Linked DNA regions of Saccharomyces cerevisiae S288C. The protein of the gene in region 1 binds, or shares a complex with, the protein of each later gene. Each region holds a gene or a part of one and is shown in the gene's direction. Other genes may lie near its edges.

Region 1 (2,758 bases):
GAAAGATTTACCCAATGTTTCAATCAAGTTCCAAGCTTTAGATACTGGTGACAATGTAGGTGGCGCCCTGAGAGTTCCCGGTGCTATCTCCGAGAAACAGTTAGAAGAACTTTTAAATCAATTGAACGGTACTTCAGACGATCCAGTGCCATATACCTTCAGCTGTACAATTCAAGGTAAGAAGGCCAGTGACCCTGTGAAGACGATTGATATAACAGATAACCTATATTCTTCATTAATAAAACCAGGCTATAACAGTACAGAAGATCAGATCACGCTACTGTATACGCCAAGAGCAGTTTTCAAAGTCAAGCCGGTAACTAGAAGTTCATCAGCCATTGCAGGTCACGGTTCCACAATTTTGTGTTCTGCCTTCGCACCACATACGAGTTCTAGGATGGTAACCGGTGCAGGTGATAATACTGCAAGGATTTGGGACTGTGACACCCAAACGCCAATGCATACTCTAAAGGGTCACTACAATTGGGTTCTCTGCGTTTCCTGGTCCCCCGATGGAGAAGTAATTGCTACGGGATCCATGGACAATACCATAAGATTATGGGACCCAAAAAGCGGTCAGTGTCTAGGTGATGCTCTCAGAGGTCATTCCAAGTGGATCACTTCTTTAAGTTGGGAACCTATACATCTTGTGAAGCCGGGCTCCAAACCAAGATTAGCTTCATCTTCTAAGGATGGTACTATTAAGATTTGGGACACTGTGAGCAGAGTTTGCCAGTATACGATGAGTGGTCACACAAATTCAGTGTCTTGTGTCAAATGGGGCGGCCAAGGTCTATTGTATAGTGGCTCTCACGATAGAACCGTACGTGTATGGGACATCAATTCGCAGGGCAGATGTATCAACATTTTGAAGTCGCATGCGCACTGGGTTAATCACTTATCTTTATCTACAGATTACGCATTGCGCATTGGTGCATTCGATCATACAGGTAAGAAGCCTTCTACACCAGAAGAAGCCCAGAAAAAGGCATTGGAAAATTATGAAAAAATCTGTAAAAAGAATGGAAATTCAGAAGAAATGATGGTTACTGCAAGCGATGATTATACCATGTTTTTATGGAACCCACTAAAATCTACCAAGCCTATAGCAAGAATGACCGGTCACCAAAAATTAGTCAATCATGTGGCGTTCAGCCCTGATGGTAGGTATATTGTCTCAGCGTCTTTTGATAACTCTATCAAACTTTGGGACGGTAGAGATGGTAAGTTTATCTCCACATTTAGAGGGCATGTAGCCAGCGTATACCAGGTTGCGTGGTCATCGGACTGCCGACTACTGGTGTCATGTTCCAAAGATACCACGTTGAAAGTGTGGGATGTAAGAACTAGAAAACTTTCTGTTGACCTCCCTGGTCATAAAGACGAAGTTTATACCGTCGACTGGAGTGTCGACGGTAAAAGAGTGTGTAGTGGTGGGAAAGACAAGATGGTAAGATTGTGGACGCATTGAGTTATGTGCAAAGACAAGTAACATACATGCACATATAAATATTATATAACTGTGATATAGAACTGCATTTTTTTCTTTTTGAATATTAAATATGATGGTGTCGCAAGGTCGATCTATAATGGTCATCGCGTACGAATGGCTTGGTATGAATTTAAAATATGGTACTATAAGCAGTATAGCTCCAGCAAGAAGGAAAACCTTTTGAAAGAAGTGCCCGTTTACCTAAAGCAACTTACTCCAAGGTAGCGTGTGAGCAAAACTATGATCAGTTCGTGTGTTACTAGATGTTTTGGTAGGGGTAAATGCCTTCCAGGGCCTGCCACTGCCTCGATATACCAAACGATAAGATGTATATCCACTAATTCAAATAAAGCTGCTGAGGCGCCAATATTTCCAAAGCTGGAAGACGTGAAGATGCATGAGCTCATAGGAAACAACAATTTTGGTAAAAAGACCTACTACGTGGAGAGAAGCAGGACCGGAAATCTACCGGTGTATTCCGCTTATAAAAATGGAGGTAACAAGATTATCACGGAGATCAGAAAGATTGAAGGAGATGTAATTCAACTAAGAAATGACTTGCAGGAGCAACTGCCTTTCATACCCAAAAAATCATGGTCTGTGGTGATGCAATCGAAAAAAATTATTATCAAGGGCAATGCAGTAGAGGCTGTCAAAAGGGTATTAACCAAGAAATTTTAGGTATCGCTAATGTATAAAAAAATAATTGTCATGTATATATATTAATTAAAATCATAGCCATGTGGTCATCAAGCCATCGAAAAGAAGTTGCTTACTTGTGTCTTAATGAAACCGTATGAGGCTTTTCGTGCATGCCCTTGTAGGCAATGAAACAAAGGCCAAGAACAGTTAAACACATCAAGGCTCTGGAAATTGGGTGGTTTAAATCATAGGCGGTGGTTCCAGTGGAGGTGGTTAAAGGTGTGTAGGCTTTATCGTTACGGAAGATGTTTTCCAAAGTGGAGCCAACAGACACATCGCCATTTCTAAACTTCTCGACTTTTTCTGTGTACGCAGCGTGCAAATCTAAGATGTTACTAATTTTTAAGATTTCTAGAACGAAATACAGGAACCGTAATTCATGCTGAGGCTTTCCATATTCGTCTGTTTCTGTGTATTGAATAGCATCCATTAGTTGATCTAGACCAGAAGTTATTTGACCAAACACGACACTTTTGCCATCCAATTCCTCATTTCCATCGGCTTTAGTGGTGATGATGAATTCCGAGGTGTTAGAATCAGGTCCAAAATAGGCCATTGCGAGTC
Region 2 (2,543 bases), on another chromosome or scaffold:
CAGAGTTGAGATTATTTGCTGAGTATTTAAGTCCCAGATTTTTATAATCCCGTCAGTCAACCCGCAATATAAAAATGGGAACTCAATAGTTTGGGATATGACGCTATCTTCATTGTCGATTTTATCGTTTATCAAGGAGATTTTAACAGTGTTTTGCCCTTTATCTTTAGAGAACTCCCAAAGCTTGCTTATTCCATCACCAGCGGATGAAATTATGTGCTCTGCACCAGAAGTTCGTGAGCTTTTTTCCAATAACTGATTAAACCTGGGACACAATTTATTAATAGAATAAATAAACCCATAATGTGCATATTTAATAATGTTTTCGGAGGGAACCTCTATGATGGCAGCGCCACAGTTTTCTTGTAGAGAGGTCAATGAAGTTTGAGATAATGAATTTGAACTATATCCAGTCGGACCTAACGAATCAAAGAACTTATCATATCTTCTATGCGGTAATTTATTGATATTTTCTACTCCATCAGAGGATTTTTTTTCAATCTTCTGAATCAAGTTCTCAACATATAGTAAGCTTGCATTTTGACAGCCAAAGACAATAGTTTCCAACGAATCCAAATATGCCAATGAGAAAATATCACCAATATCGGTCACTGAGTAAACAGTGGCTATTTCAGTAACAGGTAGAAAGTCATCTCTAATGGTCTTTTCGCCAATGGACCAAATTCTCACCAAAGAATCTGCGCCGCCTGAAAATAAAAAGTTTTCATCTTCTGATCCTGTCAAGCACAAAACCGAAGATCTGGTATGCGTTTCCTCTTGTGATTCGCCTAGTCTAATCGTATGTATTAGATTATATGTGGGAAGATCAAAAACCAATATCTTGGAGTCTTGGCTACCAGCAAACAACAATCTTTTTTTTGGAAATGCAACAATGGATAAGATGGAAAAAGCGTGATTCCACCTATGAATTAGTTCAGAGTGCAATGCGACACCCCTGCTATCGTACATGATTTCACAATTACTTCTGCCCTCGTTTTTCACTTTTCCTTACAGGGTTGTTCGGTTTCTCGAAATAGTTTTTCACTTAAATAATTCAGTTACACACATTTTATTGATATTGGTGCCACAGCTTTTCGCGGCGCACAATGCGATTATCACTCAAGTTTATGGTAAAGTCGGTATTCCCTCTCATGAGAAAAAAAAAAAAAGATACCATCTTCATTGAACTTCTAATTGCAGCAGTAATTGTGAGCAATGCTCAAGAGCTTCCTTACCATATAACAAAACATCGAAATCAGAGGATCATTCTAGATCAAAGTGAAATGCCCTTAACTATGAAAAGGAATACGAAAATAGCTGTGAAGTGTTATTATAATTATTAACAAGGTTAGTAATCTTTAAACAGAGCCTAATACTTGCGGGAAGGACTTTCAATGTTGCTTCACTGCAGCTTGTTGGCGGCTATTTGATGATGATTTTCTTGAGATACATAATTATTATTATCACGTTTCACGGATTATTTTTGAAAAGCTAGAATTAATACAAAAGATAGGACTATTGAAGTAGTATACACCAATTTTTGCTTAAAAAAACTACGGGAATCAAAGATTACCTTGAAAGTGAGGACAGCAAATAACTAAAATGAAAGGCTCACCCATTTCTCAATTTAGTAAGACCTCTATTAATGCTCTTACCAGGCCTTGGAAGAAATACAGAGATGGTGAATTATTTTATGGGTTATCAAAAGTTGGGAATAAAAGAGTGCCGTTGACCACGAAGCAAGGTAACAAGACGATGTACAAAGGGACAAGAGCTTCAGGGATTGGTAGACATACAAAATTCGGTGGTTATGTGATAAACTGGAAGAAAGTCAGAACCTATGTTACCCCAGATATGGTTAATTTCGAATTAAAGCCCTACGTTAACGCAAATGTACCACCTCTAAAACACGAATTTAAAGGATTTAGCGGCGGCCCATTAGATCCTCGTTTACAGTTATTAAAGATAAAAGAATACATAGTAAACGGGAGGGTACAAAGCGAAGGGGCCACCGACACTTCATGTTATAAGGAGCGTGGATAAGTTATTTATAATCTTTCTTCAATATGCGTGTAAATACTAGTTTTCGACTTTATAGGTAGATAAAAAATAAAACTTAAGATTGTAAAACAAAATCAAATAAAACATGGCTTAGACATTGCACCATATGTCATCTTTCTTTGAGTTAAATATAGATACATATAAATCTAAAAGAAGAGCAAAAAGTTCGTACGTATATAAATGCGCGTAGCAGAGAGAATTTGATCTTCTTTTTTGTTTTCCTTCTTTTTTTTCTTTTCTTTGTTTACATAGCACCTGGAACACCCAAGACTTGATTCAAAGCACTTTGACCGCCACTTTGTTGGTATTCAATGGTAATGACTTCTAGCAAAGAAAACCCACCAGCAATGCCAACAACTATACCAGCAGCTTTACCTTTCAAACCCAAAGATTCACCGATAACGGTGATCAAACTTAAGACGGATGCACCCGTAACAGCTGCGATTGGAATGACTTTGTTCAATTCTTTAGCGACATTCTGT
Region 3 (2,400 bases), on another chromosome or scaffold:
TCAAAAATCAATATTTTTATAGAGAACTTTGTTCAAGAGGAAGCTTTAACACAGATGTCTTTACTAATGACAATAGTCAGACTACATGCTACTTTAACGGGTAGTATGCTACAAAGCGTCCTAGAATTGGCCACACAACAGACACATGAATTAGATGTGCGAGATATGGCTATGATGTATTGGAGATGCCTTTCGATGCCAAATAATGAAAGTTTGGTTAATGATCTATGTCAAAATAAACTTCCAATGATCTCCAATACACTGGAGAAGTTTTCACCAGAAGTGCTAGAGAAACTATTAATGGAATTGGGTACTATAAGTTCCATTTATTTCAAGCCCGACTCAAATAGGAGAAAAGGCAAAAAGTATGTTCAAAATATAGTTAAAGGAAAACATATAGAGGAATTAGAAAGCATGGCAAAAAATGAAATTTCTAGCAAGGCTAACGATGATGTGCTATTGGATTTTGATGAAAGAGATGATGTAACAAATACAAATGCAGGAATGCTGAATACTTTAACAACTTTAGGCGATTTGGATGATTTATTTGATTTCGGACCATCTGAGGATGCCACACAAATAAATACAAATGATACCAAGGCTGTACAAGGGTTGAAGGAGCTGAAACTAGGTGGCGACTCAAACGGTATATCTTCTGGTGGTAAAAACAATCCCGATGTTTCGGGCGGCAATATAGTGTCACAGGATCTCCTCGATTTATTCTGACTATAAACGTCCGTTGTAGTGAACTTAAGTATTATACCATACATATATACCCTTCGTATTAATTTTTCCTTTTTATTGTTGGGCTGTGTGTATATAATTTATGTACAAGAATGGATATATCAAAAAATCCTTAAAAGATGTAAATCAAAAACATCAATCAACACAGCTTATTTTGTAGAGCTTTGTTTTTGACATAACTTTTCAAGCTTGTTGATTTTTTCTAAAACAATTTTATCCCTTTCACCATCTAAATATTTCTCATCTGTTTGATAAAACAGGAGGCACGATTTCATTTCATCTCGTTGCTTATCACAAGTGGGAAAAACTTTCATTCCATTTGCCTTAGCACAATCTGCCATTGCTTGAACAAAATTTGCACATTTTTTGTATGTTTCCGTCTTCAAGTTCTTGCGAGCCTGTTGTTCTTCGCGAGGACTTAGCACCCATATAGGTAGCCTAGAACTATGTTTCGAGATCATCTGCGGATCTTTGTTTTGCTCCATCTTATCAAATATATGAAAGTTGTTCCAGATAACTTGAAGATATTCGACTTTTGTATCTCTGGCTTTAATTATGGTTAAATCTTCCTAAACTATCATAGGTATAAATACAGGGCACTCCGTTTTCAACTTTATAATCGGAGAAGTACAAGAGCATTCAAAAAGTTCAAGAGAACGGTATAACAAAAGGACAAAGGGAAGCCAAAGAGGGAAAAAAGATATCCGTACTTTGTAGGAAGGAGACGTATTTAAAAGGCTACCCAAGTTATAAGACTCCAATGTTTGGCCCATTCAAATTAACAAGCCCCGTCGCTGGTGGCCTACTATGGAAAATTCCATGGAGAATGTCCACACATCAAAAAACCCGTCAAAGGGAAAGATTAAGAAACGTTGATCAAGTCATAAAGCAATTAACTTTAGGTCTCCACGTCCAAAGATGTCAGGATAAAGGTCTTACTTATCAAGAAGCCATGGAGAGCAAAAAGAAATACAAGCCAAGAAGTAAATCGTTAAGGTTGTTAAACAAACCATCAGTCTTTCCAAAGGAGAATCAAATGTCTTCTAAAGATAAATATTGGACTTTTGATAAAAAAGCTGTTGGTTATAGGAAGGGTATTCATAAGGTGCCCAAGTGGACGAAGATTTCCATTAGAAAGGCCCCAAAATTCTTTTGAATGATACGTAAAAGATCGTTTTATTGATATAAAAATTTCATCTGTATATAGTTTAATCATTGAATAACTTGTTTATAGATCCATGTTTGAAAGTAACACTCCTAAGAAGGCTTTGATGTTTTGTATTGCTCATATTATATCATGCCCATTGAAATCAACGTTATTTTTTTGTAAAGGTGGGAAGAAAGATCAACAAGATAAATGGCGAAATAGAACATATCAGAACATTTGAACTTCAAAACGAAGAGGACACAAAGAATTTCAGGCAAGAGAATGAACGCTAACAAACAAAGGCAGTATAATCAGCTTGCACACGAACTTAGAGAGCTTCAAACGAATTTACAGGAAACGACAAAACAACTAGATATCATGTCGAAACAATGTAACGAAAACTTGGTAGGCCAATTGGGTAAGGTACATGGAAGTTGGTTGATAGGTAGTTACATTTATTATATGGAGCAGATGCTTGGAAAAACGCAATAAGGCATAAGAGGTAAGAC
Region 4 (3,421 bases), on another chromosome or scaffold:
ATCTCATCCGTATTCTGAATTTCTTGGCTATTATCGTCGGCAAAATCTATTATAGCAGTCAACTGTGCCATATTCTCGATAATGGTTTCCCTCCAGTTCTCAAATAGGATTTTGTTATCCCCATTGAAACTTGACAAGGCAGATCTCCTTTGAGATTCTGTTTCCGAATCAATAAGATCTTTGATACCTTCAAGTTGGGTAAGGTCAAACTTTCCATTTTGAAACGCCCTCCTGGAGAAGTCGCCAGGCAAGGCAAATCTTATATCTTTACCACTGCTTCTATCGTGTAACGAGCCGATAGCTTTCAGTATACTATTAACTACGGCTTTCCCGCCGTGAACGTGCAGCTCTAACACATCCTCACCAGTAAATGAATAAGGAGCTTGGAAATATAGCAACAACGATGTGTCTAATAATATTTTACTTTCCTTTTGATCATGAGGTTTCACACTACAAGAGGACGGCGAATAAATGTTCCTCAAAATAGCCTTCCTGATCGGCGGAACTGTACTTGAATCAACTAGTCGATTGTAAATGTACTTAGCATGGGTACCAGATATTCTTATGATTGCTATCGCAGAGGTTTGATTTGCTGGTGTAGATAATGCATATATGGTTGGTTGCTGGAAGGTATAAGGCTTTGCAAGTCCGGAGTACCTCTTTAACGACCTTCTTACGAGAAAGGATCTCGAAATAAGCCGTGATTGTAAGAAAGATGCACTATTCATAAATAGAATACTTATTAACCATATATAACATTCTCTAAGTAGATAGCAGTCGTATGGAATATTGCTGTATCTTCATGTAACCTCGTAAAAGACGTTATATATGGGTTAGTTAGCCAAAAAAATAAAAAATGGACGAGTCCGGAATCGAACCGGAGACCTCTCCCATGCTAAGGGAGCGCGCTACCGACTACGCCACACGCCCGATTTGTATTGAAGACTTTGAAGAAGTATAGAAAACATAAATGTAGGATACATTTTTAAACTTTTATTAATGAAACCAATTTGAAGACATGTGGCAACCCGTGTTACTCATATATATATATATATATATATACAACTATCAGAAGATTATCAATCTAATAGATCTTTAACGCCGCCTCAGTACTTTCTGAACTGCAAGTAGAATATTTTTTTCTGGAATCGGCACATTCACATTCAGACGTATACGATGTCAGCACTTAGATTGCTACTATAGCAACTCATTTATTATTAATCCCCATTCGTTCCGATATGGATGGCATATTATTACCTTTAAGAAAGGTGGAGTTCCAAAGATTCATCAATTTTACTGTTTATAGAAAACGTTACGGAAAGATGAAAAGTAAACACCAAGGTCTCTTATGCCTTGACATAAAGAATACGGAATAGAATGATTGTAGACGCAACAAGATGAATAATTAATGGCAAATTATTATCCTATTAGATATAAATTACAGTCGCTTTAATGCGTGATTATAGAAAAGGTCCTTACAATATGCAGCCGGGTAAAGAGTGAAGTTTCCCGCCTCTGAAAAAGAGCAATACTAAAATAATCTGAAAAGAATTGGTGAAAAGAAAGCTGTAGTTATATATACAGAATGGGCATAGTTTTGAAAAGAGCAATAGCAGCAGGTATGAAACCTTTTCCAAACAGTACGTGGCATTGGAGCCGAACCATAAGACCTTTCTCACAGCATTTGTCTAGCACATGCTTTCTGCAGCAATCCTCGAGATTTACTTCAAAACGATACCTACACCTTTCAACATTAACACAACAAGAAAAGCGCTTCCTACCCGAATCTGAACTTGCTAAATATAAGGAATACTACCAGGGTTTGAAGAGCACTGTAAATGAAATACCTGAATCAGTGGCCTCTAAGTCACCTTCGTTAAGAACGCTTCATAAGAGATTACAATTACCTAATGAGTTGACCTATTCAACACTTTCCAGATGCTTAACGTGTCCCTCTGCAAAACTACCCGACAAGATAAATAATCCTACAAAAGGTGCAGCTTTCGTTAATACTGTACCTACTAATAAATACTTGGACAACCACGGTTTAAACATCATGGGAAAGAACTTGCTCTCTTACCACGTTACAAAATCCATTATACAGAAATATCCGAGACTACCCACTGTGGTTTTGAATGCTGCGGTTAACGCATATATATCAGAGGCGGTACTGGCGCACATTGCTAAATACTGGGGTATTGAAGTAGAAACTACGTCTGTTTTATCACGCTATTTGAAAATGGAACCATTCGAATTCACTTTGGGAAGACTCAAATTCTTTAATAATTCATTGAACTCTAAGGACGGTATTGAGCTAATCACCGGAAAGAACTTTTCAGAAACAAGCGCTCTTGCAATGAGCGTGAGGAGTATAATAGCTGCCATCTGGGCAGTAACGGAGCAAAAAGATTCTCAAGCTGTTTACAGATTTATTGATGATCATATAATGAGCAGGAAATTGGATATCACGAAAATGTTCCAGTTTGAACAACCTACAAGAGAATTGGCTATGCTATGTCGTAGAGAGGGGCTGGAGAAACCTGTATCGAAACTGGTCGCTGAGTCTGGTAGACTATCGAAATCACCTGTCTTTATTGTGCATGTATTTTCAGGCGAAGAGACATTAGGTGAAGGTTATGGTTCCTCATTAAAGGAGGCAAAAGCAAGAGCCGCTACTGATGCTTTGATGAAATGGTATTGCTACGAGCCTCTTGCTCAACAGGAACCAGTTATTGATCCTGGCACTGTTGTTGTTTAGTTCTGTGTTTGCCATTTTGTAGATAGAGAACTCCTTAACCAGAATACATTCTTGTACATATATATATACACGTTGGTACGATATGCGTTTACTTTATGTGTACTAAAATATATAAAAGTGAACAGAAGCATGTTCCTTGTTTACTACTATATCTTACCAGGAAACAGACAAAAAAAAAAAAGACTTGCTATATTTAAAGAGAACGCACATTTGTGAGGGGATAATAACACAAAGCAAAGTAATATAGGGTAAATGGACCTCCTAAAATTCAGTTCTCTAGCTATATCAGAAATTAACTTCCTGCACGAGTCATCGTTTGACTCGATAGACCACTCTTGGTTTTTATTGATAGGTTGCAAATTGGATCAAGATGATGAAATTTACATCCCAATAAATGGTAATGAAGCAGAGTCTCAATGGTATATTGAAAAAGTTATACGAATCCCGATGCAGGAAAATGATAAAATAAATCAAGAACGCCTAGAAAGGAGAATTAACCTAACAAAAGTGACTCAAAAGGACATTTGTATACTGGGTATTCTTGATTTATGTCAGTTAGAAGAGGACGAAAATATCACTAATAAAGTGACGGAGAAAGTGCTCACCCAATTGACCGCCTTGGCATTGAAATATCTGATAAAATATAACGTGTTTCGCCAACAT

Evidence for each region.
Region 2: IMG2 (region 1) and MRPL27 share a complex: the UniProt entries of both Saccharomyces cerevisiae proteins name them as parts of the mitochondrial large ribosomal subunit.
Region 3: IMG2 (region 1) and MRPL31 share a complex: the UniProt entries of both Saccharomyces cerevisiae proteins name them as parts of the mitochondrial large ribosomal subunit.
Region 4: IMG2 (region 1) and MRPL3 share a complex: the UniProt entries of both Saccharomyces cerevisiae proteins name them as parts of the mitochondrial large ribosomal subunit.

What each region holds. Positions count from the first base shown.
Region 1 is NC_001135.5:239,518-242,275, reverse strand, and holds IMG2 (mitochondrial 54S ribosomal protein mL49 IMG2), read left to right. Parts: upstream 1-1,732; coding exon 1,733-2,173; downstream 2,174-2,758. Other genes in the region: RSA4 (Rsa4p), read left to right, coding at 1-1,471; peptidylprolyl isomerase family protein CPR4, read right to left, coding at 2,265-2,758. UniProt on the Saccharomyces cerevisiae protein: Component of the mitochondrial ribosome (mitoribosome), a dedicated translation machinery responsible for the synthesis of mitochondrial genome-encoded proteins, including at least some of the essential transmembrane subunits of the mitochondrial respiratory chain.
Region 2 is NC_001134.8:766,638-769,180, forward strand, and holds MRPL27 (mitochondrial 54S ribosomal protein mL41 MRPL27), read left to right. Parts: upstream 1-1,602; coding exon 1,603-2,043; downstream 2,044-2,543. Other genes in the region: glutamine amidotransferase subunit DUG2, read right to left, coding at 1-969; SSH1 (Ssh1p), read right to left, coding at 2,306-2,543. UniProt on the Saccharomyces cerevisiae protein: Component of the mitochondrial ribosome (mitoribosome), a dedicated translation machinery responsible for the synthesis of mitochondrial genome-encoded proteins, including at least some of the essential transmembrane subunits of the mitochondrial respiratory chain.
Region 3 is NC_001143.9:184,786-187,185, reverse strand, and holds MRPL31 (mitochondrial 54S ribosomal protein mL60 MRPL31), read left to right. Parts: upstream 1-1,504; coding exon 1,505-1,900; downstream 1,901-2,400. Other genes in the region: APL2 (Apl2p), read left to right, coding at 1-726; CMC1 (Cmc1p), read right to left, coding at 894-1,229; HSK3 (Hsk3p), read left to right, coding at 2,174-2,383. UniProt on the Saccharomyces cerevisiae protein: Component of the mitochondrial ribosome (mitoribosome), a dedicated translation machinery responsible for the synthesis of mitochondrial genome-encoded proteins, including at least some of the essential transmembrane subunits of the mitochondrial respiratory chain.
Region 4 is NC_001145.3:320,290-323,710, forward strand, and holds MRPL3 (mitochondrial 54S ribosomal protein mL44 MRPL3), read left to right. Parts: upstream 1-1,585; coding exon 1,586-2,758; downstream 2,759-3,421. Other genes in the region: MSS1 (Mss1p), read right to left, coding at 1-728; CSI1 (Csi1p), read left to right, coding at 3,011-3,421. UniProt on the Saccharomyces cerevisiae protein: Component of the mitochondrial ribosome (mitoribosome), a dedicated translation machinery responsible for the synthesis of mitochondrial genome-encoded proteins, including at least some of the essential transmembrane subunits of the mitochondrial respiratory chain.